4 linked regions of the Arabidopsis thaliana genome follow. The protein of the gene in region 3 interacts with the protein of the main gene of each other region in a pairwise test. Each region holds a gene or a part of one and is shown on either strand. Other genes may lie near its edges. The genes, in order: NAC096, ESR1, PYL6 and ADA2A.

The links.
Region 1: the proteins of PYL6 (region 3) and NAC096 interact in binary tests that used the Arabidopsis thaliana proteins (3 or more experiments, as listed by UniProt).
Region 2: the proteins of PYL6 (region 3) and ESR1 interact in binary tests that used the Arabidopsis thaliana proteins (3 or more experiments, as listed by UniProt).
Region 4: the proteins of PYL6 (region 3) and ADA2A interact in binary tests that used the Arabidopsis thaliana proteins (3 or more experiments, as listed by UniProt).

The regions. Positions count from the first base shown.
Region 1 is NC_003076.8:18,901,332-18,909,184, forward strand, and holds NAC096 (NAC domain containing protein 96), read left to right. Parts: upstream 1-3,926; 5' UTR 3,927-4,347; coding exon 4,348-4,504; intron 4,505-4,586; coding exon 4,587-4,870; intron 4,871-4,958; coding exon 4,959-5,198; intron 5,199-5,282; coding exon 5,283-5,480; 3' UTR 5,481-5,721; downstream 5,722-7,853. Other genes in the region: AT5G46600 (aluminum activated malate transporter family protein), read right to left, coding at 6,518-7,159, 7,249-7,392, 7,575-7,705, 7,831-7,853. UniProt on the Arabidopsis thaliana protein: Transcriptional activator involved in the positive regulation of abscisic acid (ABA) responsive genes. Acts as a positive factor of ABA-mediated responses.
Region 2 is NC_003070.9:4,426,565-4,433,729, reverse strand, and holds ESR1 (Integrase-type DNA-binding superfamily protein), read right to left. Parts: upstream 4,013-7,165; 5' UTR 3,940-4,012; coding exon 2,953-3,939; 3' UTR 2,765-2,952; downstream 1-2,764. UniProt on the Arabidopsis thaliana protein: Regulates gene expression patterns in meristems and thus modulates organ development. Required for correct embryo patterning and cotyledon organogenesis. Modulates auxin signaling pathway in early embryos.
Region 3 is NC_003071.7:16,842,350-16,849,869, forward strand, and holds PYL6 (PYR1-like 6), read right to left. Parts: upstream 3,846-7,520; 5' UTR 3,476-3,845; coding exon 2,828-3,475; 3' UTR 2,239-2,827; downstream 1-2,238. Other genes in the region: DREB2C (Integrase-type DNA-binding superfamily protein), read right to left, coding at 6,316-7,318, 7,458-7,501. UniProt on the Arabidopsis thaliana protein: Receptor for abscisic acid (ABA) required for ABA-mediated responses such as stomatal closure and germination inhibition.
Region 4 is NC_003074.8:2,467,211-2,476,551, reverse strand, and holds ADA2A (ADA2 2A), read left to right. Parts: upstream 1-3,456; 5' UTR 3,457-3,489; coding exon 3,490-3,542; exon of another isoform or gene 3,543-3,644; intron 3,645-3,770; coding exon 3,771-3,832; intron 3,833-3,915; exon of another isoform or gene 3,916-3,916; coding exon of another isoform or gene 3,917-3,968; coding exon 3,969-4,171; intron 4,172-4,299; coding exon 4,300-4,365; intron 4,366-4,451; coding exon 4,452-4,577; intron 4,578-4,655; coding exon 4,656-4,728; intron 4,729-4,834; coding exon 4,835-4,895; intron 4,896-4,984; coding exon 4,985-5,043; intron 5,044-5,197; coding exon 5,198-5,248; intron 5,249-5,335; coding exon 5,336-5,564; intron 5,565-5,653; coding exon 5,654-5,864; intron 5,865-5,956; coding exon 5,957-6,235; intron 6,236-6,343; coding exon 6,344-6,538; 3' UTR 6,539-6,721; downstream 6,722-9,341. Other genes in the region: AT3G07750 (3'-5'-exoribonuclease family protein), read right to left, coding at 1,334-1,573, 1,664-1,807, 2,115-2,239, 2,334-2,412, 2,614-2,706, 2,795-2,851, 2,944-3,066; AT3G07730 (uncharacterized protein), read right to left, coding at 6,946-8,367. UniProt on the Arabidopsis thaliana protein: Required for the function of some acidic activation domains, which activate transcription from a distant site. The exact mechanism of action is not yet known.

The sequences.
Region 1 (7,853 bases), on a different chromosome or scaffold from region 3:
CTTAACTTGATATTTTATTTTCTACCATCATAATATAATTGCTTTTATTCATTTGTTAATTATCTAACAATGATTAACAACTTTCCATTATCTTTAAACCCAAACTAGGTATAATATAACTGTACTTACAAAAAAGCATTTTTTATGAAGAGTATCATCTGAAAATTTATAAAACCATATACATCTTAATTAGTATCTTTTCGTTATCTATAAATTTTACATGCATATTTAAATCTTAATTACGATACGGTAACAAATTTAATAATACAAACTGTTATATTACAAATCGCCCCCATGTCGAACATGGCTCCTTGTGGTTCAAGATCATCCATAAGTTTTTCAAGATCATCCATAAGTTCTTCCATCTCCCGAAAGTTTCCTTAGAGACAAATTTAATAATACAAACAGTTATATTACAAATTTTTAATCTGTCTATCACATTGTTATCTGACTTTTATTTATCATCAAAATGATGATGTAGTTTATACAAAGAGATCCATATATCCGTATATTAAAAACTGAACTCACATTATTGGGATATAGAAAACCCGTATAAAGAACCGAAGATCGACGGTCAAGAGGATAAGACGAAAATATGACAAAAATATATTGTTAATATTGAAGTTTAGAATATTTAGCATTATTTCTAAATATATTATGTATATTTATATTTATCTTAGATTATGAAACTTAGATCAATCTCATCTCTATATAAAAGAATGCATCTTGTACAATTATTCTTATGAGAATTTATTATAATTAATCCTAGACATATTTGTGTTCTTTACTCTTATCAATTTATCATTGCATCAGAACCAGCTTAGAAATTAAGATTGAAAGCTCTGATACTATAATAAAGTTACATAAATTTCTAACCCAAAACCAATTGGCAATAAGTACAGCGACTTATGTCTCTTATATATTACTCAATGTCTCATTACATGCTTCCTAAACATTATAGATCTTAATCTTATGACCTAATAATCCCTACCTTAATCTCTAACACACATTATACATGTTACGAGATATTTACGATTCAGACGAGATATTTAGAATTTTAATTACTGTATCAACGTATGAATATTAATTTATTGGCTAACTACTTACTAGACCAAAAACGCTTTCACCACGTAAGGACAATATTATTTACAAAACTAATATAGGTATCCGTGTAAGGGTGGTCATTGATAGATCCGTTTATTCGTATAGGCAAACTTTTTCGAGTATATTTTCCTCTACATATGCTTTTAGTTTTTTTTTTTTTTTGGGGTTAATTCTCTTTTCCGATCGTATTCCCGCTGACGATACCATGGGTTAAAGTGAACGTACGTAAAGTAGTGTGGGAATATTCTCACTCTACCAAAATAATAAGGTAACACTTTCATAGAACGAGAACCTATGTTACCGTCAACTCAAGTAACTATTTTGAGCTTTTTGCCACTTGGATTTCTCAATTACGAACAAAATCAAACCAACAAAAATGATTTTACAGATTAATACATAATAACGCTTCAGTATCTTTTTTCTTTGACAACATGCATTATCTGAGTTTAAATTTGGTTAGTACTACATCGATAATTTACAAGTACCTATGCTAATAGTCAAAATTCAAATTAAAAATCTAATATCCGAATAAATGGAAATCACGTATATATAACCAATTACAAATAGTTTATAAAAATTCAACCTTTCGTGAATGATTTTGCTATGTATAGACTAAAACCGTGTCAAACCAAATATATTAGTTGGCCTACTGTTCCACCAATATGGATGTCGGGACATACCATACCATCCCTTTCTACATTTGGTATGTTTTCACATTTCTTTTCATGGGAAGACTAAGAACTGGATTACATTTTATTTTTAATATAAATTAGATATTTTATGACCTCTAAGTAATAGTTGAAACCTGGATTCTATCGAGGATGATCGATCTTTCTTTTCTATTATATTTTTTGTTACAATTTTTGGTTTTACTTCTTAAAAGAAATGACTTACAAAAACAGAGCATCAAACTTTCGGGTTTGGCAACTCTGGTTTTTAGCAATTAAAACAACAAAATTACCGAGTGAAAGAGTCTCAAAACCACGAAAAGAAATGTCTCGCAGAGTAATTGTTGCGTATTACTCGGTCAACTTGTTTCAACAAATAACACAGAAGATTCGGTTCTTACGTTCTTGCCATTAGGTGTAACTATAACAGCTTGGGTTGCAATAAGACGAAGGATGGATTATTGGTTATCATGTCGAGGAGACTCGAGGCAAGTTGAGAGTCCCATGATGTGGCATCTCAATCATGATGTGCACCATCGTCACAATTAAGTCATAGCTATTGGGACAACGTTGAAACAATTTGTCTCTTGTTTTCACATATATTTTACAAAGAGGGAAAGTGTTATCTTATCTCCAACAATTCCCAAAGAGCATAAACGGGAGAGGAGGGGTAATCGATTCAAACAGGCGATTCACATGGTGAAAGCATGTTTTGGGACTGAATCCGAGAACCATACTTGATGATACCAAGGGATCGGACTTCCAGAAGTGGCTGCATGTTGTTTGTGAGACATGGATTAATGTCAAGTAGCAGAGGAAAACCTCAACATTGTGGATTTAAGCACCAGAAAACTGCCAACCCTCTTCATTAGTAGCGTTAGCTAAACACTAGTCAATGTTAGAAGCTGTCCATAAGGAATACCAGAAAAAGCATATATTACCGTCTTTAAGCTTGAAATAAAAGGAACCATAAACCATTTCTCCTTAGGTTTAGGAGTTGTTGCCACATGGAGAGCTCCCTAGGCTCTTCTTCATTAGTGGCCAAAAACATCTCCATTTCTTTTTTTCTTTTTTTAAGTTAACTATGAAATTTTAAGATTATGTGACGTATCATTCGAGAAGTCATATGGTTTATGTTGACTGCATTAGCTAATAAAACTCTACTTAAGATTCATGTTAGTGATGTGGAAATTGAGTCATCGTGTATAAAGGCATCCCTTTTCCGAATGCTATGAAAAAACCTAAATTGATCCAACTAAATGGGAAACCATGAACTGCAACTTTATATTATCGGGATATTTTAGGCGAAATAATAAACTAAACTCGAGAATATGAAGTTACTATGTAATTCCAAAATTGTTAAAGAAGAAACTTTATATCTCAAGCATATGACAACTAACTTCTATATAAGTGGCTCTTTGGTCGTTCTTAAAGACATGAACATATAAACAAATTAGAAAATGTTAAAAATATGTTTTGGTCCGATTAAAGCAGCCGCGGGTCCACTAGCTTGTTCCGACTCAAATAGTTTTCGTTATCACTTTCTTCTCTCCATTTTTTTCATACGACATAAAAGTGATATAGTTACACTAAAAAGTTGTTTTGTCCTACGCATAGTGACGTGTAACAATATTTTAAAACTCAATATCACAGTAATATATGACTGGGAAAGTTACAACTTGAGGTGTAAAAGTTGCACACATTAACATATCTATAGGCTATAGCATTGGTACATTTTAAAAAACTATAGCATTTTTTTTACAAAAGATTACATTGAATTATTAGTAAATATATAATATACATAAAAACTGATTATGTTGTAAATCACATAATAATTGTATGATTGAAGATTGAAATGATAAGCCTATTATCGAAAATAAAATTAGTCAAGGAGAAAACTTTGAAAGATATATGAATGAGTTGTTAATTGCTTGTGCATAAGTGTGAACATGTAAATAAACTTTTGAATCTAGGTAGGTCCATTTACTTTGGAATTGTTACATAGAACACTTCAGACAAGTTATGTCTTAATCACTTTATCGGTCACCCATAATTTTGTAAAAAATAAAAGCCACATTCTAACAAACTTTTATAATTCCATTTTACATTTATATACAAATCAATATTCTACCAACTTTGTGCTATAAATATTCATCACACCACAACCATTCAACACTCTACCAACCTCTTCTAATTTCTACAATCACTCTCTTAACTCTTTGCTAAGCACTTCTTGTTAGGAAAAATCATTCCTTAATCACTCTCGAAGCTTTCACACCAATATTACTTCCTTACTACATCTCTTCATTTTAAAGATTTGTTAGTTACTTTTTTTTTTTGTTATTGTACGAAATAATTTGTTTTCTTTCAGACAATGTTCTTGTCACACAAAGAATACAATCGACTTGACTTGCAATTTTTTCTAAACAACAAATCCAGCATCGAGAAAAGTTTCTATTTTTGGATTTTCCAAATATTAACAGTTATAGCTTCGTGACTTCAAGAAATATCCATTTCAAGATTATTTAACCTTTTTTTGTCTAGCAAGTCATCGTATTCTACTTTGTTGTTGCAAATGGGAAGTTCATGTTTACCTCCAGGGTTCCGGTTTCATCCTACGGATGAAGAACTCATCGAATATTACTTGAAAAGAAAAGTCGAAGGTCTCGAGATTGAGCTTGAAGTCATTCCCGTCATCGATCTTTATAGTTTCGATCCTTGGGAGTTACCAGGTAATATATTAACTTCCAAAAATCTATTTAAAGTATTAGGTAACTTTTCAAATTTTTAATATTTTTGTGTTGTTACTTTTAGACAAGTCGTTTCTCCCAAACCGGGACATGGAATGGTACTTCTTCTGCTCAAGGGACAAAAAATATCCTAATGGTTTTCGTACAAATCGAGGAACAAAGGCTGGTTATTGGAAAGCAACCGGAAAAGATCGAAAAATTACTTCTCGTTCATCTTCTATAATTGGTTATAGAAAAACTCTAGTTTTCTACAAAGGCCGTGCCCCGTTAGGCGATAGAAGCAATTGGATCATGCATGAATATCGACTATGCGATGATGATACATCACAAGGATCACAAAATTTAAAGGTAACTTTATAATTTGATCAAGTTCTAAAATGGTTTCGTTTCTTTTGATATTGAGAGACCATTAAGAAATGAATGTGTTTAACTATAGGGAGCTTTTGTGTTATGTCGTGTTGCTATGAAGAATGAGATCAAAACTAATACGAAAATCCGAAAAATTCCAAGCGAGCAAACAATCGGATCAGGAGAAAGCTCGGGTTTATCAAGCCGAGTAACGTCTCCTAGTCGCGATGAAACAATGCCGTTTCACTCATTTGCCAATCCTGTATCTACTGAAACTGATTCTTCCAACATTTGGATTTCACCTGAATTCATCCTCGATTCTTCAAAGGTAATGTGTACACAATTCTAAACATACTGATAACTAACTAAACCAATGTTTGTTAATCGTATACCGGTTTTATAATTTTTGTAGGACTATCCTCAAATCCAAGATGTCGCATCTCAGTGCTTCCAACAAGACTTTGATTTTCCGATCATCGGTAACCAAAACATGGAGTTTCCAGCGAGTACAAGCTTAGATCAGAACATGGATGAGTTTATGCAAAACGGTTATTGGACAAATTATGGATACGATCAAACCGGTTTATTCGGTTACTCAGATTTCTCCTAGACGGAAGTATTTGGTCTCTCTTTACGACAAAAACACCTTTTATCGTTTTAAGTATTGGAAGACTTTTGGCATTGGTCTAAATATATGAATGAGTTTCATAATTCTGTTTTTTTTTCTTTTACTTTTTATGGGATTATTATATTTTATATGAAAATGTTTACCGTTAGTTATATATCTTATATATATGAAGCTGTATTTTATATTCCATATGGATTCTCTTAAAAGTCTCAATAGGATTATGCACTACTGTCATCCTTCAACTATCTATCTCTCATTAGTCATTTCTATTACAATGATTAATTGGACCAGTGTGGTCACCACACTATTATACCATCTTTTTGTGACGTCACTATATATAACCTTTAGAATAAACTTTTGTGGAAGTGATAAGTTGATAACAATGACTCTGTGTAAAACAATCTTTTAACAAAAGGAATCATGGCACCAAAAATACTAAACACTTATGAAGTTATGAACAACATAATTTTTCTCTAATACAGAAAAAAATAGGATTGAAAAATTGCATCTCTATAATAAAAATAAAGGAGCATAATTGAAGTTATAGGATATCAAGTTTCCCAAAAAAAATCTCATCGTTTGACCACTTGGATGAGCTTTATAAAAAAATTATTTTATTTTGGTATTAAAATGTAATGTGATTTTCTAGAAGTATTAAGATTAATAAAATTATTTGTAGGCATATAACAAATTGGGTCCATAGCTCAGTGGTAGAGCAATTGACTGCAGATCAATAGGTCACCGGTTCGAACCCGGTTGGGCCCTGATATTTTTCTTTTTTTATTTTTTACAACTTTTTGTAGTTTTTGCCAAAATTTACCAAGTAACCAACACAAATCAAAAAGTAATCTTTTTTTTTACCAACGTAACTCTTCAAATTAACACCTCGTGTTACAAAATTCCAGAAATTAAAAACATAACAAAATCGGTCGCAACAGAGAATCGAAATCACGTAGTAGAAAACCGAGACAAAACCAAAATAAGCCGTATCGTAACGATACATTCAATCTACACAACCACTAGATTAACCGGTTCTCAATTCGCACCTCCACAGTCTTATCGTACTCCTTAAAGCAGGCGATTGTTCCCAATTCCTCAACCTCATCAATCACAGTATCAAGCCTCGCAACCATTTCCACAAGAAGTGACGCAAACGCAGCAAATGGTAACGCTTCCGAAAACTCCAAACTTTTCATAACCGCGATTTTGCTCAATTGTTTCCTCAATCTCCTCTTCTCTCCGGTCGCCGCCGATTTCTTCACCGATCTTAAGCTAGAGAGTGAAACAACGCTGTTTAACGGAAGTGGTGATACGGTGTCGTTCTCTTCTATAGTTTCTCCCAAAACGCAGCCGTTTGTGTTATTATCGTTGTGATATGAAACGGTGCCGTTTGAGTTAGTTTCGTTGTAATATGAAACGTGGCCGTTTAGGTGCTTGTTAGTGATGTTACTATGAAGGTTAGAGCCTAAGAAGAGCTTAGGTTGTGACTTGATTGTGGAGTTGAGATCTTTTAATGCCGCTTCGAGACTGTCGGAGAGAATCTCCGACGAGCAATGACGTCGGTTTTGAATGCTTTCGGAGAGTTCTGATAAAACTTTGCAGATTTCTCCGGCTAGTCTAACACAAGGATCTTTGAAGAGGACACGGATAGACCTTGGAGTCTTAAAAAATTAACATAAAAACATTATAATAAAACTATATGCTATAATTTTAATTTCTTCTAATGCAAATAAAAGGTTGAATAAATTACCTGAATCTCGGTTTGTAAGCAACCGTGAAGAGCAACAACAGTGTAACCAAACTTGCGAAGAACGGATCCAACTTTGATATATTGTTGGGATGGAAATTTGTTGCAACGCCTTGTGTGTCTTGGCTCCCACTTTGCATACATTGCCTATATAAATATGTGTCAATATGTTCAATATAGATATTGGGACGATATTCATATACAAAAATATCAAATGAATACATTTATAAATGTTCATTAGAAAAGAAACATTTTTACACAAAGATATTCAAGATATATAATTTAACTAGTCGGATTCGAAATAAAGATTTTGATTTAAGATGTCTTACGAGCGCTTCGTCGGCGGATTTAGAATCCAAAACAGTATTATACCCGTTGTAGATTAGGTCTTCATCATCAGATTCAGAATCTGATGTTTCGTTGTCTTTCAGCTTCTCCTCAAAATACTCACTCACACATGCTAACATGTATATAGAATAAAAAACCATTTATACTATGTAACTTTATATTATGCATACACATATATGTATAGTTATAATTTGCATGTTTAATACATTGATGTTTATGGTTTTAAGGAATATGTACCTTCAATACATCGAGAGAGGCCT
Region 2 (7,165 bases), on a different chromosome or scaffold from region 3:
AAATTTGAATCAGAAGAAGGAAAAAAAAACGAATGAGTAAGAGAGAAAGAGGAAGAAAGAAAAGGCTGTGTCCTCTCTGGAAATGGGTGGCACTACGCGATTAAGAAAAGAGAGGGCCAATTTCACAAATTCTTAATAAAATCATCAATTTCTCTGCATTCTCTTAAATTTACGTATTTACCCTTATCTTACTCCACTCTAAGGAAGCAGCGTTTAGGGATAATATAGTCATTTAAGAAGCAGCATAACGGTTTACTCGGGCCCCACCACGAGTCTCTCGGACCTGACTCAACGCCTCTGTTTTATTTGTGTCGTGTAAATGACTTCATTACTAAGCTTGTGACACGTGGTCATCTAAAATATCTCCTTTGTAATTGGGCTTACTTTTAACACTCATCATGGCCCATTTAGACATCCTTAAAAGGTCAACGGAAAGAATCATATTCTTCTTTCTTCTAGGGAATTATTACTATGATTAAAATGTTTAGGATACAGAGCATCATTTCATGTGTAACAATGTATCAACAATCCTTATCAAATTATTTAATTTTAATGAGACAAAATGATTCAATGATTGTAAATCTTTTAAACAAAAGCCAGTGGATCATCATCGTGACTTGTGTTGGATAGGTCGGCGAGATACATTGACTATAAGGCCGTTTACTTATGATTGAGATATAAAACTCTTACTTGGACAAATAAGATAAGTGTTTGTCTACTTGTACGATTTTTTCCACTCTTGATAGTGAATTGAGTATGTTAGTTTCTTTCTCTGTTTATGATTGCTTAAATAGTTAAATGTAAGATATCACCCGGTAAGGAAAATTTGATTTTTCAATTTCAATAAGAATAAATTATTGGGTTATACGTATGGATGAATGATGATAATATTTTGATCGGAATTATGAGAACGAGTGGAGTATGTGTGTGTACATGAAAACGACGACTTGGAGGCTTTTTGAGAAAAGATAAACTACACGTTTTGTAATTCGATTTGATTTCTAACATTTTTTACATAACATAAAGTAAACAACGATGCGTGATAAAAATATCCTAATGTTGTATTGCATACGTTAACGTGTGACGCTGTGTTGGATTAGTCGGCGTTGACTTGATTTTTTAAGGTCTCCCACTAATATATTATGAGGTTTTCAATGTCTGAAACGTCACAAGCCCCACTTTATCATTTGAGTGGTCTCAAAAGCTTTTAAATCACCATTCACAAAAGTATATTTTGGGAAGATTAAAGAAGAGAAGAAATACAAGGTAAACTTAAATTTTGTTAAGAAATGCACTGCACTTTCATACATCGAGTTTAACAACAATACTCTGTAGTAATCAACCACTAAATATTCAGGATCATAGATGATAATAAAGTTATGTCACAGCAATTAGCAGACGTAGATAATAATGTGTGGAGTTGTGGAAAAGAGCAATTCAAGTGAAGTACATAAACCAAGAATACAAACTTTCCACTTCTCAGATGTAAATCTCATAATGGGCCTGATTAAAAACTGGGCCTAACTTTTTGCGCCCATGTCTACTACTGTATGGAGAGAAATTTTGCTATTACTAAGCTTGGAGTTCGAATAGAGTTCAACAATTGAAGTTCCGTGCTTTCGCTGTGTTGAAATTGACAATGCAATAGATGCTTTCATCCATTTATTTATTTAACTAGAATCATACGATCAGAGTTTTTTTTGAGCGAATCGGATTTTTGATGTGGAATATTTTTACAAGGTATATATATCAAAAAATAGAAAAGGAACAATATGGTTTTGACAATTGCCTAATGAATATTAACTTTATGTTTCTACAAGACTACAAATACCCCTAAACCCCTAGCCTTGAGCCTTCATCTTGAAACAATTTGACATTCACCCTGTTAATAATGTATCCCCTATTATGATTTCACTTTAATTCGTTGAGATTTCTAAAGTTAGCATCCAACAGGAATATCTAAGTTGTCTACTTATATGAGACAGTAGATTAAATTACAAACATATGATTAGTGTGTGCGTACGTGTTCATTTTCTTTGGTACCATTTTTGTGGTTTTCAATTTTCGTATACTACTAATTTCATCGACGGATATACATGTTACATCAACGCAATAACCACGAAACATACGGAATTGCGAACATGAGTAGTGGGTACAGTTGATACAAAAAAAAACGCAATTTTTTTTTTGTATTTCATCATATATTCGCAATGAATTAAACTCATTCTGCATATATTTTAGTTTTAGTTTTTTTGAAAAAGCATATATTTTAGTTTTTTTTTTTTGGTCAAAGCATATATTTTAGTTTATTTCTGCAAATTCAGTACTTATTAATCAACATGTGAAAAAATCAGTACTTATTACTAATTTTTTTGACATCAATCAATATTAAAGTTCTTGACCTTTGTTATTTAGTAGTTCAGCTTTTCCTTTGGTGATAGAATGAAGAGAGCACGAAAAGTTGGAGAAGACAGAGACAAACACTGCCTTTTGTACGAACGTTAGTCCACTTTTCAGACTACAAACAAATAAATGTAAGGATATCACTTTTTCATCTGCAGATTCACTTTTAATAGGTCGATACCAACATTGCTGAACAAAGGAATTTTCCTATTTTACTCATCTCTCATCATATATATTATTTCTTGCTATTACGACTATGTTAGAGGCTTAAAGCTGTTTAAGAGTTACGTAACTTCTTAACAAGTTCCACCATGTGATTATAAATTATGATACAACTTAAATCATTAAGCGCGTAATGTGTCAGAATACGTGGATATAAACTTTAATTAGCTACGAAAATATATTATAAACTTGATTATAATTATGAAATCCTATTAGCAAATTCAACTTAAAACATAATTTAGTTAATATCCAACATTGGGAAAGGTAGCAACTTTAAACTAAGTCGATAGTACCAAAACTCAAAACATAATCATGATGAATATCTAGCTATCCCCACGATCTTCGGCAAGTACAGCCTAACTGAGTTCCGTACATCAACATTTCTTGATACCCCCACTCGTTTGATCCCAACGATAAACCACCGTCTGCGACGGCTCTTACGCCGTCGTCATTAGCTTGAAAATTCCCGTAGCGATCTAGTTTCGACGACAAAGTCTCCTTAGTCTCTTGAACCATATTTTCAGAGTATATAGTGAGATTAGAGAAATAACCAGAGTTGTCATGATGGCTAGTCACCGGCGGTGGTGTTGGTGGAGAAGGAGGAACGCCGCGATTTTTCTTCAAGAACTCTTGAACGACCTCTTGTAATAGACCAGTATCAGAAGATTCTTCCGGGAAAAACGACTCGTTGTTTTCGTTTTCGGAATAAGAAACGCATGCCGTTTTCGATGCTGAGTAAGAAGATGATGAGCCGTTGAAAGAGTTATTATACGGAGTCGTTTTACGAGAGGAACACGAGGCGTCGCGTAAGAAGATAGACTGTGTATTATAGATCCTCTGCGCTGCCGGTGCACCGTAAAAGTTTTGGGTAGAGGAATCTAACGGTAGAGAAGGAAGAGGACAACGAGCAGACGGCGAAGATTTCTTGTTGGAAAAAGAAAACCTTGGTTCAGGCATAATGACAGCTGTCGGATAAGTAAAATTAGTACGAGCCTTTGCTCCACGAAAGGCACGAGCCGCAGAGTCGTAAGCACAAGCGGCTTGTTCCGCCGTGTCAAATGTTCCGAGCCAACGTCTCTCCTTCGACATTGGGTCACGTATCTCCGCCGCGTATCGTCCCCACGGCCTCCGGCGTACGCCGCGGTACCTCGTCGTGCTGCTGCCAGCTCCGGCGATGGTTACAGTGGTATCTTTTGAAGACAGTTTGCGGTTGCGGCTAACAGGTGAGGCTGTAGGTTCAGTGAAGAATTTTGTGAGAGGATTAGGGTCTGGTGAGTGGGTAGATTCGGTGAAGTTTCTCAAGGCTTTTTCCATTTTTGGTTTCTAGGGTTTTGGTTTGAGGACAAAAGGAAGGTGTAATGTGAAAGATTTTGGTGGTTGATAGTTTGAAAGAGATGGAGCTTCTTCTATCTATTTATAGGTACATAAATGGTATAAAAATTTAATTAAATTTTGTGAAGTTTGAAATATATGGCGAAGAGTATAAATGCTTTTCTTGCACATACAGTATAGTAGTATACAAATAACTATATAAGCATGGAAACTTTTGAGTTGCACTTAAAACTTGATTTGATTAATAACTGATAAATTGATAATACTTCTTTTGTATATTAATCTTAGCAAACTAAAATTTAATTTTACATTTAAATTTACTTGCTATCTTGTTCATCATATATATATGGGGTAGATGTTTTAAATCTTTGGTCTAGACATTAGTGTTTTTCTTTGATGATGACGATGCAAGTGGGAGTGGCGAAATAAAACCACGTTCTTATTGCTTTTTTATTTATTAAAGTTAAAAATCGACCAACAGTCATTTCACACATGCTAAACATATTTACATTATTTCTGTATGATTAGTAAAGGATAATTCCATTATTTCTAAAACTGCCAATTAGAATAATCCTTGAAAAAGTATCTTTGTTTGTTAATGTTAATGTATGATTACAACATACACCAATCGGTGATATCGAGAAGAAAATAAATGATTTTGTAAGAAAAGTATGGAACAAAAGATATGCATAGCAACACTTCAGTGTAAATCTGACACTTGTGGATATTATTGTACGAAGAGGACATTTCAGGTTTGTCTAAACGTATGTATGAGACATATATGTATTTCATGTATCAGAAGCTTGTTTTTTATTTATTGCTTCTGTCTTTTTTTTTGTTAAAATTATTTATTTCTTCTGTCATGAAATAATCATGCCATATCGCCCGATGCTTACGTTTTATTATAAAGTCTATTAGAACAATATAAGAATTTGACAAGTTTACTGGAGTATCTTTCAAAAGCTTTGGTAAGTATTACTAATTGTTTAAATAAGTTTTGAAATAGCGTTGTAATGGCTGCGTTTGCGTCATATGTGTTTAATTACTACCATCATTTGAGATTTTTTAGGTATTATTATAAAACCATCTACCATGACCATGACGTCATGAACTCATTATATTGAGATTTATGTTGGTTGGTCGGCAAATGACTGAATGAGACAATAAGCAGCAATTAAAACCCCTGCGTTAATTCTGTAATTTTACAAGCAAACTAAAATGTTTTAATTTAAAATGTGCATAGTCATAATATGAACTTAAACTGATAACATTTTGTCTAATGTTGAAATGTTACAACTCTATGTGAAACCATAGGCAAGATCTTTTATTACCAAACTAACAGTATCCATGGTTGATATAAGATTTTGTCTGGGGGGGTAGGTTGAGTTAATATATACTATAATAATTGTTAAGTATAGTTATTACTATATGGTAAAAACAACAAAAGAGTTCATTGGTGAACTTATCTATTTTCTATTAAAAATTTGAGAAATTCTTCATAATTTTGGGAACTAAAGACTTTTGGTTTCCAGCTCAGTCCTATGCAAATGTCTTTGTGATTTCCGATGTCACAAAGTAAATTATTACGATAGCTCGTGTTCTGAGATAATTTTAGTGTATCTATCATAATATCAACTTGAAATACTTCGGTTTCGATTAGGGTTGGACATGTGAATTATATATCCAACCTAATCAATTAAGTGAAAGCAAGAAATGAACCAATTATTTATAGTCAAACCGTACTCAATCTACATATCTCACAACCAAACGAATCAAACTTAACATGACTTTAGTTCAACCAAACAAACTCAGCAAAGAAATCAAATTTTATCTAAATTTTATATGTAGATAGAAATATATTAGTAAAACTGTAATATAACCATATTTTTATCAAATAATTTTTAATGAAAACATGGACCATATTATAAAAAATTATTTATTTTCTAAAGAAAAAATGATAACTGTTTTTATACTGTTAATTTGTATCTATAAATAACCAAAATCTTTATAAATCCGTAAAGATGGAAAAGGATGTATTCTAATCAATGGGAGAGTTGGAGTCGTTGCTTCACCACTCTATTTTTAATCCCCTTATATTTTTTCTTTCTTGTTAAGTGTTGCTTTTTTGTATGAACTATGTTGGTATAAATGACTATAGTATAGTAACTAATCAAAAGTATGATTTGATAGATTTTGAAAGACAGAGTAAATGGTGGGTCGAGAAAAAGAAGATATTGTAACGACAAAAGAAAGAGAGTGTCAAATACCAAGACTCCAAAACTCAATCAATCAATTTTATCCCTTGAAAAACGGATTTCACTTCTTCGAATTATTCATTCTTCCAAGAACAATAATCCTTCATCAACATCAAAAAGAATTCTAACTCAAATTCTGCTAAAAAGGACTAAATTATAAAATGTATTTCTTTAATAATGATCTTTCATCAACATCAAAAAGAATTCTAACTCCAAATTCTGAGTTCAATCAATCAACCTTCTTGCTTTAATAAAAACAGGAAAAAAAACCGTCAAGTAGTAAAAAATAAAATAAAATCTTTCGAGATAAAAGTGTGATACAAAATAGGTTAAAAAAACAAATCCCGTTGAAAGTGAATGACCTTTTGGGACATAAGAAAAGATCATTCTCATCATTTTGCCCCCTATGATGTGGACCCTGAGCACCCATGCGTTACATAATATTACTTTGTGATTTGACTATCTTTATATTTTAAGAACTTATAATTCATTGCTTAATATAAATATTTTTACTTCTCTCAAATATACTGAGAAATTTGGGCCAAATAACATTAAATGCATCCACACTCTTGAATAAATTATCTAGATTTCGGATTGAAACTGAAACTTCTGGATTATTGGAAAATCTGGTGTAATGCTCTTTATTATAATATAAGCTCACGTCTTGTTTAGACTATTGAGAAGATAGACCAAACTTACTGTTTGAAGAGTAATTACACTAGAGTTGGGTCCTAATCTATATAACTAATTAACACATTGATTATTGTTCTTATGATAAGCTAACTTTTCAACACCAAATTATAAGCTTACTTTTCAACACCAAATTACGTATGAATATGATCAGTAAAACAAACAAAAAAATGATCTGCTGTAACTATTTCATTTTTTTGAAGTACTAACTAACAATAATAATAAAAGAAACATCTATTAAAAGTGTACAATAATTCAGATTA
Region 3 (7,520 bases):
CTGTAATCTTCTAATTTATAAGTGCTGATTCGCCAAACCTAACTGACAAAACTCGTGTTCCGGTGTTCCGATGGGCCTTTATTGGGCTTAATTGTTTTATGTTGTTTTCTATATTGGACACACATAAAAAGTATTAACACACAAGTTTAATTGTCTTAGACCGAACATGAATGGAAGTAAGAAAATTCAAATCATAACAAAAAAAATCTAATCTTACATAAAATAAAGATAGACAATAAATCAATAATATCAAATTCAGGTTATAAACACACACTCACAAATATAAAATCAAACAATTTCGTTAATATAATTTTGTTAAACTTGTGAAATTAAGATGATTTTTATAATATGAAGGTAATGAAAATATTATTTTGAAGCGAATGAACTGTGAACTCATATATTCAGAATTTTATATTTTTGGTAGCAAACCATGTATATAAACCTAATAAACAAATAGTAAATCGACGTTTTCATTAATTTTAAAATCGTATTTGATAATTTTCAATTACTATATAGAAGATTTTTATCCGCGTTGATGTTTTCAACATTACACACCACTCACACCGAAATGCTTCCAAACCTAAAATCGTAGAAGTTAAAATCATGGACGAAAATATCTATCCCCAATAAACTTTAAGGAAGGAGGCGGTGTTCTTCACGTTACATTGAATTTGGTTTGCCTTTTTCAGACACACTCATATGTATATATTGGATAAATCATCTATTTACATTTTATAGCAAACTTTATATCTTATTCTAATTAGTTAAAGTGTTAGATAGCCCAGCTAAAGACTATATGAAAATACGAACTATCTCCGTTGCTTTTTAAAAGTAATGCATATTATATCACAGCTATGTACGTTATCACAATCTTTTATGCATGTTTATTTGGATTTGAATTATTAAGAAACTAGTTAAATAGTAGTAGTTTATATGCAACATGCCACATTGGAATATACAAACCCCATAAATCGTATCTCTCTGGATTGGTCAGAATTTTCATTTTTTTGACACGGGAATACATATGTTTTCATATGTAAATAAAAGGGAAAAAAATTTCTTATGGGTTTATAAAATTAAAAAAAATGTGAAATAAAATATAAGTAATATAATAATAGTGATCAGAAATAGGAAGACAGAAAAGAAAATAAGAAAGGTGGGTGGGTTTAAATGTCATTATACAAACGACCAAAAGAGGGAAAACATTAATAGCCTCCTTGCCAACTTGCATATCAACTTGCAATTCCTTCCTTCCACGACAATGTTTACATATATATTTCGTACTCATTATGATAATAAATTAATAATCATTTATGTAATCAATTTGATTTTTCTTTAACCTTTTTTTTATTTATGGAATATTTTTTAAAGGTGTCAAAGAATAGTAGCGACTTTTTTTTTTTTCCTTTGCAACTTGCATGCTTTGTTTTTTTTCTATAACAAGTTGGATTTTATTACACCCCAACTTGCATTTTACGTACGATCATATACATGAATGTCTATATATGTATTCAATTTTGAATTTGGTTCACAAGTCTCGAAATCTTACTACTTAATTATAAAGTAACTAAACACATTTTGCTTTTGCAAACTTTGAATGTCTTTTCATCTTGTTCATTGGATTCTTTATATTTATATAACTAGATAAAGTTATTTGATTTTTCAAATGTACATTTTTATTCATGAACTAATATATAGGACAAGGAAATCCGAAAAAGTAATAATTTTGACATTTGAATTATTGAAACGGTTCACGCATCCCAAAACTATAAAAGGAACTAAGAAATTTTATCATTTTGGTATGTAAATAATTTTGATTTATTTTTTTGGTGAGTAAAAACAAAACATTTACGTATTTATGTAAAGTTTGTTGATGAAATGACAAATAATTTGAAAATTTTACGTTTCCAAATTAGGGAATTAAAGATATAATGCTGTATTACCTGACACCATTTATTTTGGCCTAGCATTATATATGCCATAAAGAAAATTCTTAAGATTATATCACATAACTCAATACATGCATTACGCCTTGGTTCAAGTTTAATTATCACTAATTGATATTATTCCATCTTTGCTTTTAGGATTGAACGCTTTGATTATATAGCTGGTGAGCAAATTCATTTAAAACACCAAGTAGTATTCTACTGTTTATACATTTCAATAAAATTCAAATGATGTATAGTTTTACTTTGTTCTTCTCTTAACATAAAGGAAAACGAATCATCTCAATCAGCACATGTATGGGTTTTCTGATTGCCCACAATTGTTCAGATCTCTTCATATATAGTAGATATGCCAATGATTATATTAATCAAATTGTTTGTGTAATACATTATTATGTAGGTTATCAAAATTAATGAAATTAGACATAATAATATCGGAAATATCGTAACAATATACCCCATGCATTATAGCTGAATCACTATATAGTCTATATTGTTTCATGATTAACTAAATTAAAAGACAAATAATAAATATGTAAAATACGGCGCAAGAAGAAGATTATGAAAATAACTAAACAATCAATGTTTATATAATAAAGCTACGAGAGCTGTACAAGAAGAAATGGTTTTAAGGGTAAAACCAAAGTATCGTTGAGACATACATTTAACAGACCCTAAAAACCCTAACTTCGAAAAACCAAAACCATCTTGTTTGATATAATTCTTGTTTTTTGTTTTAGTTTCGAAAAATCCCCGACGATAGTTAAATACTTAAATCTTAAAATCCAAAACCACCTCGAGAATCCCAAAAATAAAAGATAAATTTTGAAAGAGAGAAATATAGAAAATAAAATAAAAATAAAAAGATTGAAAAAATGTAATTACGAGAATTTAGAAGTGTTCTCGGCGAGTTTAGCCAGCGATTGCAAGTTGCACCGTACTATAGTATCAGCAAAGCTACAAGTCTCTTCCTTATCGTTACCCGCCGGTACGTCAACGACGTATGACTCAACGACACGTGTCCTCTTCTTGCCGTCGGAGTCCTCCTCCGACTCATGCACCGTCGTCACCGACTTGTAGTTCATGAGTCTGTGGTCCCCACCAACGACGCTGAAACTGATGACGTGGCGATCATCGTCCATGATCTCAAGCCGCTCTAAGCTAAACGCCGCGGGGAGACCAGAGACGACTCTGACCTCTCTCACCGACCCAACCTCTCGACCGTCTCCGATAACCACGTGGCAGCTTTTCACGAAGTGTTTGTACGCTTGAGGGTGTTCGAAGCGGCTTAGGATCGACCAGACTGTGGAAACCGGAGCCTCCACGTCTTGTACCACGACGGAGAAGCACTGAGAAGGACCAACCACGTGCGTGTGGGAAAGCTCCACGTGCTCCGGCACATCAGCCATCCCGCGCGTGAGGCTCACTTTTTGAACCTGTTTCTGATGGTGGTGGGGATAGTTTCTTACGGTGGCGTTGGCTGCTTCTGCGGCGGTGGAGGATCTCTGAAACTGTATCGACGTTGGCATTATTAAAGCAAATCTTTTCTCTATATCTCTTTTAATATTCTTGGCTCTCTCTAAGAAAACAAATGGTTTTCTTCGTGAGGTTGTATTAATGAGAGATATTTACATGTAATATACAGAACTATATAAGGACAGAGTGTTTATATATAAAAATGCAAGTATGTGGATTAGGAAAGAGAGTTAGTTTGTGTGGGTTCTTCGGTTGTCCACTTGGGATTTGTTTGGAGTTTGTGTACTGCTTCAGTTAAGAAACGTCTCTCTCTTTCTTTATATCAAGGACCGGCCCGGTTTCCCATGAAATTCTACGGACTGGTTCTCGATATTTAATATAACCGGTTATTAAATTTTAATTTTGTTTTTCCTTGCTTTGTTACTGAGGCTGTCTATTTGTCAATGGTGCTATATATTTCACCAGTTTATTACAATGAATGAGCATGTTGTCGTAACCACACAAGCATTACTATAATTAGAATGGACGTTTTTATGTTTTAACCAAAAACACTCTTGAATGAAAGTTGAGAAAATGAAATCAATATCATTTAAGATACCGAGAAAAAAATTCTGAACTCATCTCTATCTCACCGATTATATCAATATTCAGAATATAAAAACATTGAACATTATCTTTGAGGTTTTGCATAGATATTTCAATCTTCTACTGTCTCGAGGCTATATATATAGCTAACTCTAAAACGTTATTAAAGATTATAAGAACATGATCACTATGTGTCGAGTTGGTTAAGCTATATATATTGGTTAAGAGCTATACTTAATTTATGCATAGGTTTGAAAAAATTCTTGAAACAAATTGGTTGGGAGGACCGACCTTTGTCTTTGTGATTGCCGATCTATTTTCAGTTGGTACTATTCTTGGATGCGTTTTTGGTGGATTTTTAATTTTGTTGGAACCTTCTGACTAAGGTAAAAATTTCAAAAATAACTCCATAGGACTTTCAATGTTCCAAGTTGGTGAAGATATCATGTCATGGGTCCATCATAATAATCTTTCCTCATCTTGTAATCAACTTGAGCCTTTCGACGATACTAAAAAAAGTATTAATCAAATTCCTTTTCAACAAAGAAAAGAACAGAATATTAATAAGACGAATTAGAAGAAAATCAAACTAAGCAGTTTGCTAAAAGTAACCAACGTAAAGTCAGGGAAATTTACGAATTGGACAATATTTCTTGGGTGTGTTTTCTTCCACAAACGTATATTCAAATCATATGAATATATTGGACTCTTGGATTTGAGTGGTGGGCATAATAACAAAACACAATTGGGAAAAATAATAAAGGGTTATCTAATGCATTAGTTTTTCCAACAACTATACATATTCCCAAGTAGCCCTAGTTGTTAAGATTAATACGAATAAGCGAGCAATTTGCAGTACTAATTATATCTGACATTTTATAGAATAAGAAGGACAAAAAGTTACAATTTGCTATTTTTTGCACCATCCTCGATATAAAGATTGCTCATCTTATAAGCTTTCGGGTTAGGTGACATAATCACTCACCAATATATTACTGAACACAAATAGATTACAAGTTGATGTGGAAAATGTATTAATATTACGGTGATACATTTTTGGGTTCAAAGAGTCAATCTCAAATCAATGCATCAGACGTATTTTGTTACAACAACATAATTTGTGCCAACTTTTTTTTTTGTCAAAACATGTATTATATATCCAAGATTTAAATTCCAATGGTGAGATAGTGACAAACATTAGTATAAACAACTCGACTCCATGTCATTATTATTTTTGTGCAAAAGCCGGTTGTTTGTTTGTTTGTGAATATTTCTCGAGAAATAAATCTCCAATATGCATAAAATATTATTCCACCTAAAATTATTAAATCCCCAACTATGATTATAAACAAAATGCACTTAAAATTTCAAAAATAAGTATCGAAAAAATCAAAGATAAGCTTAAATTTCGATAGATATTTGAATGAATCAGATTACAACGTGATATTAAGAGAAGATTATCGATCAAAAAGTAATTAAAAGGAGAAATTGTCCAAAATAGTTGCATCTCATTCTTGCGGAGAAGAGGACACATTGTCAAAGGGAACTTGTGGAGGTGCAATACCCACCAATTCATTGGATTTAATTAATTAACAGTTTGCCAACTTGATTTCTTCATTTTTCTAAAGGCTTAGAAGATCTTCAAGATTCGAGCAAGAAAAACGATTTTGGAGACCAGAATGGAATAGTTAAAGCCTTTTAAATAATATACAACTATGTCCCATTTGCACTTTCAAATACCCAATTTGCCTTTTGTAGAAAATACAGATAGATAACTCTCTAATGATAACTTTATTATTCATACCTCATTGCTTATGTAATCTCAGACAACCTGAGGAAAGTCTGCAGACCAAAAAACTCCACTACTGGATATTTCCATTAAACTAAGCCAAGTTTCTTGAATAATCAAAACTTGCCAAGTCAATAAAACCACTACGCAACATCGCATTATTCCATCTCCATTCTTAAGGATGAAAATTAGATGTGAGAGTATCCAAAGTTCAAAGATCAAAACTTTATAGCTTATATGCATCCGAAGTTCAAAACTTTGATATGTACCGAATGTTATAAACTTTTTCTAAACCCAACGTTTGAACTTCTTCATATGTCATATGTATTCACAAGAAAAAGAAAGAAGGAATCATATTTGAACTTGTCCTACATTACCTAACTACATGTACTACGTCTCACAACCATTAATATCAGAAAGTATCAGTAGCTTCAAAGAAGGGCAGCTTCTAGCTAGTAACAGCTACACCGTCTCGGAGCAGAATCACAAACTTAGGCCAGTCAAACGAAATTTGAAATCTTATGTAGATCCATGAACATCTTTGTCTCCTCCAAAATCCAAGTCCTGTATGTCAAGATCATTGAACCTGCGATGGTCTAAATCAATACCATAGTTCTCCATATCACTGGGCTGCACATAAGGACATCCATAATCAACTCCTGGTTGAGCAATCTCCATAGGGTTGAGGCTCCCGAGCAAGTTAGAATTTGGAAACTGCGTTTGGTAACTGAAATTTGGGTGTCTATCCACTTGATACTGCATTGTCTCTTGACCAGACACATTGTTGTCGTTTAATATACCCAATAGCTCATTAATATCAAACGTTTCATCCACACCAAACTCCAATGGTTCTTGTTCATTGCCATTTCCCATCAACCAAGCATCCAAAGTCTCCCTTTTCGAGTCCTGTCCAATTCCAAAACCAACAGCCAAGTTATGTTCTTCCCTCACTTCCTCTTTTCCTTTCAGCTCCTCTTTAATACACTGAGAACTATCTAAGAGAACATATTCATCGCTACAATCCTCTAGTTTCACCTGACCAAAACCTGAACTTGCATTTGTATCCTCACGTGCACAAACTTCAGATTCATCAGAAAATGCAGTAACCGAGCCTGACACAGTGGCAGTGGCAGCAGTCGAAGAAGAGCGATTTGTGATCTCGGGAAGATTGAGTCTGGCAGACTGACCATATATAGCTTTGGCCGCCTCGTCATAAGCCAATGCAGCTTCATATGAACTGGAGAAAGTACCGAGCCACAACCTAGCACCTCCGTCTGGCTCACGGATCTCAGCAACCCATTTACCCCATCTCCTCTGTCTAACTCCTCTATAGTCACAAATCCCGTTTTCAGGTCCACCTTTACCTTTCATACAACCCTTCCTCGAACCTTTTGGAGGAGGCTTTCGGATTGATTTTGGACCACCACCATCGATACAAGATTCTGCCTCAATCTGCTCATTGTACTCTCTCCATTGCCTTAGAATCTCAGCTACATCTCGTGTTCCACGAGACTTCCTTTTCCTGGTAGAATCAAAGGGGATAGAAGCAAGATTAGCAACATGCTCGAGAACTCCAATTTTCTCTCTTCACAAAATTTCAAGCAACAGGTTCAACTATACTTCGGATCAAAGCACCTTTCAAAGAAACAATTTTTAACCACCTGAACGTAATTACACCGAAGTAGCTACAAGAAGAAGTTTTCATAATCTGCAGCATCACAGCG
Region 4 (9,341 bases), on a different chromosome or scaffold from region 3:
CGAAATTTGAGCTTTGATCTGAGTGATTTTCTTGGGGAGAGAGACAGAGGAAGAGGAACGGGATTCAGCGAACTTAACTGTGCCAAAATGCGTGAATTTTTAGGGTTTGAAGAGAGAGAGAGAGAGAGAGATGAGAAGAGAGAGTCTGGGGGAGGGACAAATGGGTCCACCAAGTGAAAGTGTTTGCTTTTTTCCTCTCTTTTGGCTCTTTTTCTTTTCCTCCACGCTCCTCTCCCGCCTCCACGCGCCACCGTCTCTCCGTACCACGACCATTTTTGCTATTAAATCTTTTTCTCTTTTTTTTTTTATTTTATTTTTAGAAATAAATATTTTTACTGTCAAAATTAACTTTTACAGTTAAAAACCTTTAAGTACTGTAGTTATCAATTTTTTTGTGTATATTTTATTAGGGTAAATCATAGACTAAATATATTTGATTAGGTTTGACTCTTTTTCCATAATGAAAACAAAATAAGAGTTAGTGGCCAATAAGAAAAGAAAAAATCACTTTAGTCAATCAATTTAGTTTCATTTTCTTTTCCAATTAGTTAACCGACTGATTTTCAAATCTTACTTTTTAATTGTTTATGCTAGTCACAATTTAAATGTGGAAACGATGTTAGTTGATTCGCAAAAACAGTTATCAATATCATTGTTAGTTAGTTCATCGGAATATACGTAAATTCGTTGAGTTTTGCCATTTAACGCTTTCTATTTGCTCCCTCCTTTTGTTGTTTTGTAGTATGTACCATATCATAATTCTATGACATAATAGATGACTACCAAATTTTCTCTGCCAGCTTGCTTGTTATGAAATGAAGGAGGAAACAAATGTGAATAGTATCGGATTTGGGAGTTTTACAGAAAACAATTGAATGTTTCAAAGCCATTTTTACCAAACCCGAAGCTGAGATACACGTGACCAACACTGCTCACACACTCTTTTGACCTTTGAGCTTAATCATGGACCACCAATCTTCTCTTTTTTCCAAGTCCACTTAATTTCATTTGCTGACCTCATCTCCATTCTCATTTCCTCCTCCCAAAATATCACAAATCCTTTTGTAACTTGTTATGTCTTTCACTTTAAACACAGAGATCCAAGGAACGCCTCTTTTAATAATCCCTAGATGAGATATAATGTTACTAATACTATAATGGCAAAAATATCACCTTTACTATCACAAAGCATGGAACATTAGAACATAGGAAAAAGGATTTTGATTAGCTTAATCTGTTCTGACTTCGTATAAGATTTTCCACAGATACAAATATTGTTGATCCCTTGCTAACATGTTTCATCTTGAAACTTTGATTCTCTGAGACTCAAGAGTCAAGATTCGTCTTCGCAGGCCTCTGCGGCTGAAATCTCTGAATCAAGTTTGCTCATCAGAGTCTCTGTCACATGCTTGGCAACAGAGATCATGTCAAGGATGACGCTTGGGTCTAAGCCAGACCCGCTTCGTTTGGTTAACCCACATATATGGCCTGTCCGATTCACAGATATAGATACAGCTGAGCTCATCTGAGACTCCTCTTCTGCTGTTGCATCAACTATGTAATGCGTTCCCACCTGCAAAAACCAAGGACAGCATGGTAAAAGATTAGCGAAATGTACATAAGAAGATGTCGATGTGAATCAAGAAAAGTGAGATTCGATTACTTTTGTTAACGTGACTATGACCGGGACACTGGAAGTGTCAAATTGAAGATATTCCTCGTCGCTGATGTCAATCTCTGGTTGCTCATCATCTGCTACTTCAGCTGAAACATTGACTTTTGGGATGGCCGTGTTGGTTAAAGCAGCCTGCAGGAGTATAGTCAACAAGTGCATTAAAGCATGTGATCAGCCTTGAGGAAAGATGACTTTTGGGTTGCTTAAACTATCAATTGGAAACATATCGTAAAGCTACTAAAACCAATAACAAGACAACTACATTGAGCTAATCTATATACACTTAACTAAAGACCCATTCCCTTTCGTTTCCTATATTCTCTGGCCTTTCCTTTCTCATGATTCTGATTGATGGGTATGATTTACTCACTAACATTCGTAACTAAAACCTGAGACTAAGGGTTAAGAGAGAAAACCAAACACACATCACAAGAATTACCTTAATGGCAGCACCCAGGGCATCCAATAGATTCCCATCCGAACTAATGACAAGACCATCAATATAAAGGTCCCAGCAAACTTTTCCTTCTTTGATTAAAAGCGAAGATAAATTTATTCCAGCTCCTGGTACCAAAACATGAATTGCTATAAACGTTACAAACAGAAAGCGTAACAGTGTGCAGGTAAAAAAAAGCATTGCATAAACATGATTGCAGACCTGCTCCACTTTTGCCACCCAGAAGACATCTTTGAAGAGCCAAAGCAAGCTCAGAAGACAATTCCTCACCTCCTCTCCCCTAAGTAACAACATATCACAAAGAATTAGCCGCCTAAAGACTTAACACAGTAGAATTTAGGAGATTCTGAAGAAAAGTAATGATAACCAAAATCTCATGTTGAACAATTCCACTAGTAAGAGAAACACCAATAGAACGATAGAACGGGTGTGACAAGTGCTAGATAGAACCAAAACCAAACGAAATAAAAGAAAAGCTCACCCCAAATGTCGGTTCAGCTGTTGGACTGCAATCAATGAAAACTGCAACCTTTCCTTTATCGGGTTGAAGTGAACTTGGCCTCCCAATTTCAGCCTGCAATTACACAAGATTACTGGGTAACATCTACAATAGCACTTCCCATTCAACAATAGAACAGTAGCAGAGAGAACAAAGGAAGTACCTTTACACTAGCAATCACATCGGTTCCACCAATTCTAACTCTCGCTGAACCATTAGCCTAGAGCCAACAAAAACAAGAGAAAGAACATATCTGTTAAACAACTGGGAAGCAACAATGAGAAGCGGACGAGCTCTAGGAGATTACACTACCTGCGGAATAACACCGGTTTCGACGTAGATAGGACGGTAAGTCAATCTTTTCCGACCATCAGTTCGAAGATCTTGAGCAATCCCACCTTTAATGAAATGTTGTTCCCCAAGAGAAAGCCCCATCACTAATACTACACAGAGAACGAATTAGATCAACTGCTGAGGAATTTCTACCGGAATGACAAACTTCAAGGTTCACGGATTGGTGCTAGGGTTTAAGAGACAGCTCAAACAAAGTACACATCTTTATACAGCACAATCAAAACCCACTAATCTTCTTTACCTTCCCGGAGAATTCAATAGAAGACACAACTCTGAAGTTTTCCGGTGACCCTAGCGGCAACTTTGGATTGGTTAGGTTAAGAGAGAGACGTGACCACTGACAACTGCCGTAGGGTTTAAAGATGGCGTGAACATAATTATTGACACTTGTTAAGGGTAATTTAGTCATTTACCGACTTACCATTTTTTCACTGCTTTTTAGCGTTTTCTCGCTCTTCTGGTTTTTTCTTCAATCTGCCGGGAAGAAGTGCGAGCTTGGTGCCGATGGGTCGTTCGAAACTAGCTTCTCGTCCTGCTGAGGAAGACCTGAATCCAGGGTTCGTTTAAAGTTTCGTTCTTTGTCCATCTTAGCTCGAAGTCTTCTAGGGTTTTCTCTGTTCAATTACTTACTTGTCTTTGCGAAAACATTTCAATATCTGGTAATCCACTTAGCTGTGTTTGATTATCTGAATCGGAGTTCTTTTGGTACTTGTGGGTGGCTCTTGATTTCATACTGCTGTCGTCTCTTGTCTTTATCCTAATTTTGATGATTTTGGCTGTTTCAGAAAATCAAAAAGGAAAAAGATATCATTGGGTCCTGAGAATGCTGCGGCATCAATTTCCACCGGTAGGTTTCCGTTTACTTGTGCAATTAGGTGTGATACTGATAGGACTAAAGTTTCTGCTGTGGATAGATATGCATTGATGTATCATGTACCAAGCTGCGTTTTCCAAAAGTTCTTACATGTACCAATACATTGTAGGAATTGAAGCTGGGAATGAGAGGAAACCTGGCCTTTACTGTTGTAACTATTGCGATAAAGATCTGTCTGGTTTGGTTCGTTTCAAATGTGCTGTTTGTATGGACTTTGATCTTTGTGTGGAATGCTTTTCTGTCGGCGTTGAACTTAATCGTCACAAGAACAGTCACCCATATCGTGTTATGGTTAGTTTCCAACGCCGAGCAGTATATTTGAATTCAATTCAACGCTTTGTCAGCTGAAAAGTAATTAGATTAGTGATTGTGTTTAAAACAAAGAAAATGTTCTATGGTTGTATTTTTGTTTGTATTGAATCTACCCTTTTGTTTGACAGGACAATTTGTCTTTTTCGCTTGTTACTTCTGATTGGAATGCCGATGAAGAGATACTCCTTCTTGAGGTAATCATTAATCGTTTCTGATTGTACACTCCCATGTCTATATAGAGATTCCATCTGACTATTGGGAAGTAAATTGACTGTGTTAGGCCATTGCGACATACGGGTTTGGCAATTGGAAAGAAGTTGCAGACCATGTTGGTAGTAAGACAACGACAGAATGTATTAAACACTTCAATTCTGCTTACATGCAGTCACCATGCTTTCCACTTCCGGTAAGGACTGATGAAAACACATGATCGTCAGATAGTTGAACCTAGCTTGTTTATTTACTCTAGCTCCCCGCTCTGTAGGACTTGTCCCATACTATTGGAAAGAGCAAAGATGAGCTGCTTGCTATGAGTAAAGATAGTGCAGTCAAAACAGGTCAGCTTTAAAATCTATTAGCGGGGTTTCTTGTTGATTTGGGACTCGTATATTAACCTTGACTGAAAAAAGGAGGATGCTGAGCTCTGTTTACTATTTGTCACAGAAATACCTGCATTTGTGAGGCTATCTCCAAAAGAAGAGTTACCTGTGTCAGCTGAAATCAAGTATATACTTATGCTTGTAACAATAGTTTACCTACGTTTACAATGTTGAATGCACCTTTTTAAAAGTACTATTATGTTTCCATGGGCAGACACGAAGCTTCAGGGAAGGTCAATGAAATAGATCCACCTTTGTCTGCCTTAGCTGGAGGTATGTGAAAATGCTTTTATCTATATAAAATTGTAGACATTATTTGCACTTAGATTTATGGCTAAGGACGCAAATCATCCGCATTTCGTACTACGACCCCAAATATTATCTCTTCCATGATTCCATATGTAAAGTAATACTTTTTATTGTACAGTCAAGAAGAAAGGCAATGTACCGCAGGCTAAGGACATCATCAAGTTGGAAGGTTTGTTATATACTGGAACAAGTTTTTATGCAAAGTGATATTTACGCGAACAAAAACTAAAGGTAGTTAACGGCCCTTGTGTCTTAGCTGCAAAACAACAATCTGACAGGAGTGTCGGGGAGAAGAAACTCAGACTTCCTGGAGAGAAAGTTCCATTAGTAACAGAGTTATATGGTTACAATCTAAAGAGGGAAGAATTTGAGATCGAACATGACAACGATGCTGAGCAACTGCTTGCTGACATGGAATTTAAGGATTCTGACACAGATGCTGAGCGTGAGCAGAAACTGCAGGTTCTTCGTATTTACTCGAAAAGGTACACTTATCACAGGAACAACCATTTTTAAACCGGAGAATTTTTTCATAAGCCAATGCTACAAGCCAAGATTGTGCCTTTGTTGGCAGGCTTGATGAGAGGAAGCGGAGGAAGGAATTTGTTCTGGAAAGAAACTTGTTGTACCCTGATCAATATGAGATGAGCCTTTCAGCAGAGGAGAGAAAAATATATAAAAGCTGTAAAGTGTTTGCGCGGTTCCAATCCAAAGAAGAGCACAAGGAACTGATTAAGAAAGTCATTGAAGAGCACCAAATTCTCAGAAGAATCGAGGATCTTCAGGTTTGATGCTTAAAATTTTACCAAGCTTGAGTACTGGATTACAAACTCAATTAGGTGGGAACATTAAGTTGAGCTTTTAATAAATGTTGCAGGAAGCTAGAACTGCTGGTTGCAGGACAACTTCAGACGCAAATAGATTTATAGAAGAGAAGAGAAAGAAGGAAGCTGAAGAAAGTATGCTGCTGCGGCTTAACCACGGTGCACCAGGCAGTATAGCCGGTAAAACACTAAAAAGTCCAAGAGGGTTACCCAGAAATTTGCATCCCTTTGGTTCTGACTCACTGCCAAAGGTCACACCTCCAAGAATATACAGCGGTTTGGACACTTGGGATGTTGATGGTCTCCTTGGAGCTGACTTACTCTCAGAGACCGTAAGAACAATAATTTTCAAACTTGATGTTTGTCATCTTATTTGTGATTTTGTTGATTTGTTGACATTATTCCTATGGTTTGAGAGATTGAAGCTGTTTTTTGTGCAGGAAAAGAAGATGTGCAATGAGACCAGAATACTGCCTGTACACTATTTGAAGATGTTGGATATCTTAACAAGAGAAATAAAGAAGGGGCAGATAAAGAAAAAGTCTGATGCTTATAGCTTCTTCAAAGTAGAGCCGAGTAAAGTAGACAGAGTATATGATATGCTGGTTCATAAGGGAATAGGTGACTCAACATGACTCATAGCTTCATGGTCCTAACATGTACTTCTCGAACATATATTAGCCATGTAAATATAAAGGAAGGTGATGCTGATTTTGGTTACACATCTTGTTCTCTGTTAGTTTCGACAACTTGACAATGTCTGATTGTTATGACCTTCAAAGGCTGTTTCAGATTTTTTGATACAACGTTTAAACTGAATATTGTAATGCCTTCACTCATCTGATTCCTTCAATTTTTGTTATATGAGATCAGAAAGTCTTGAGACATTGCATCAGTTTTCAGGAAAAACCTAAATAAAACCAGATTCTTTGGTTACAAGAAACTACACTGGATCAGATTGCCATCCAACAACAAAGAAAAAAAAAAAAACAGACAGAAATCCAAAAACTTAATCTACATGAAGCCAAAAGCTTTACCATTTCTAAGGTTGCCAACTTTGAGTCTTCTCCCAAGGCTTGAAAACACCATCATGAGAAACATATTTCAAGTAAAAGAAAAAGCCACGCAGCAACTTCAAAGCTCTTGCCTTATCAACACCAACCACAAGCTTGTATTCTTTTTCGAAATCAGGGAAACTTTCTAGATAAGATTGTCCCAGTTCGTCAGTCTCATAATCAGATCCTCTTCCCTTTCGTAGTTCTCTGCATCGAGTCATTTTTTTATGGATTGATACGTAACGATGGAGCTGCTTCATCTCTCCTTCATCATATGGATTTTTCAAAACATCCATTAGCTCCTTTCTAAACCAACTGCTACTACTTTCATTCTCTTTGCTTCCTTCATCAAGATCAACCACTTTCTTGGACGCCACAAACGGTGTACACTCCTCTCCATCCAAAAAAGGGGAATCACCCATCGCAATTATATAATCAGACCAATCATCATGTGGTTCAACCTTCACTTCTACTAGTGGATCCAATTCAGGTACCATTGTCGATTCTTTTAGAGTATCCATATCATCTTTCTGAAGATTTTCCATTGGCTCAGTTGTCGAATCGCTAAGAGAATCTACAAGCCATGTGAGGTACCTCATGTAATCCTTATCCACAACCGCTTCACTCCCCTCATTCTTCTTCCTTCTCCCTACAAAAACTTCTTTGCTCCTTGAAGAAGTCTCATCTACATCATTAACCTCTGTAACTCTATGTACTCGCTCTACGTGATCAATCTCCACAGCAACCCTCTTGTCTTCTTCAGTTCTAACCAATGGAACATCTTTTATTAAAGCATCGTCACATTTCCTCTTTCTTCGTTCAGCAACTCTGTTGTCTCTTTGAATGTCTTCTTGAGTTTTAACCAATGGAACATCATCTCTTCTTAAAGTCTCAGCCTTTGACTCGGAAAGTTTCCTAACTTTGTTGTCTCGTTGTTGAATGTCTTCTTGTTGGGTTTCGAGTGAAGGAACGTCTCTTGAAGTCTTTGCAGCTTCTAACTCTGCGATCCTCCGCTTTCTTCGTTCAGCAACTCTGTTGTCTCTTTGAATGATTTCTCGGATTTTAACTCTTTCAACCTCAACTCCAACAGTTTTCCTCTTGCTCTGTTGATTAACTCTGTTCTTCACTGGATTCTCATTCCCAAGCTTAGATCTCTTTGAATCACAAGAAAAGATCTTTAATCTACGAATGTCAGATGCTCCATTGTCAACTTCAAGGCGAGTGCTTGAACTTTTCTTATCACCTCTTCGAAGATGATCCAAGAAGACGTTGTACTCCTTATCAACCATAAGATCATCATCATCATCATCTTCGTCAAGACAGATAATTGGAACATCGATTTTTTCAGACATTTCATTCACCATAAACCTTGTATATCCATCATCAATCACAATGGCTTTCTTCTTCATCGCAATCAACACTCTATTAAATTGATTAAAAATAGAAAAAATTAGGAAATAATTATGGAAGTAAAAACCCTAAAACGATCAATCCGTTGTCGCTGAAACCATAATGCAGGAAAAAAAAAACTATGAAAGCTAGAAAGATAAAACATAGAAGGAGCAAAAAAAGGACGCAGAATCGAGCATACCGTTTAGAGCGACTCTGCTTGTGAACACTAAACTGAGCAAATTATTCTCCTAAAATAAGAAACGGAAAGAAGAAGAAATTAATGATATAACGTAAATATTAGGGTTTAAATGCAGATCAAATTTTGCTATAATAATTAAGGAAATTTCTGAGAGAAGCAGAATATGAAGAGACGTGAGATAACACTTAAGGAGGCTATACGCCAAAGCTATAAACCAATTATTGTTATCAGACAAAATAGTTAAAGAGACCTAAGGAAAATCCACGTCATATATTTCATATTTTCTCACCATATTAAGAGTTTTTTTTTCCTTTTTCGCCAACCTTAAGAGTTAGAAATAAGGAAATATCGCATAACTAAATAAAAGTTAAAAATAACATAATAACCCGATATACGAAATAATAACATAATTGTATTTTATGATTTGTGGGAGTGTGGGAAACAAGAGCATGCATTGGGTTACTTGTTCAGTGAGTATTAAATATAGGTTGGTGTGTGTCGTGTGAGTAGCAAACTGCAACATCTTTTCCCCAAAACGAGATATTTTGAATAATTTTGCAAGGTAAACCAATGTATCTTTTGATGGATTTGGTATTCGCAAAACAAACTTTTATTTGACCTTGTTTTTGCCAATATAGAGAGATTCTTGCAATTAAATACCTATCAACTACTGACTCAATGAGACAGAGAGTGAGTGGGTAATAAATAGAATTCAAAGCTTCCATTGATGCTCTCATCCTTAGTTGTGTATCTCTATTATGGTTTAGTTGCTAAAATAACCATTAAGCTGAT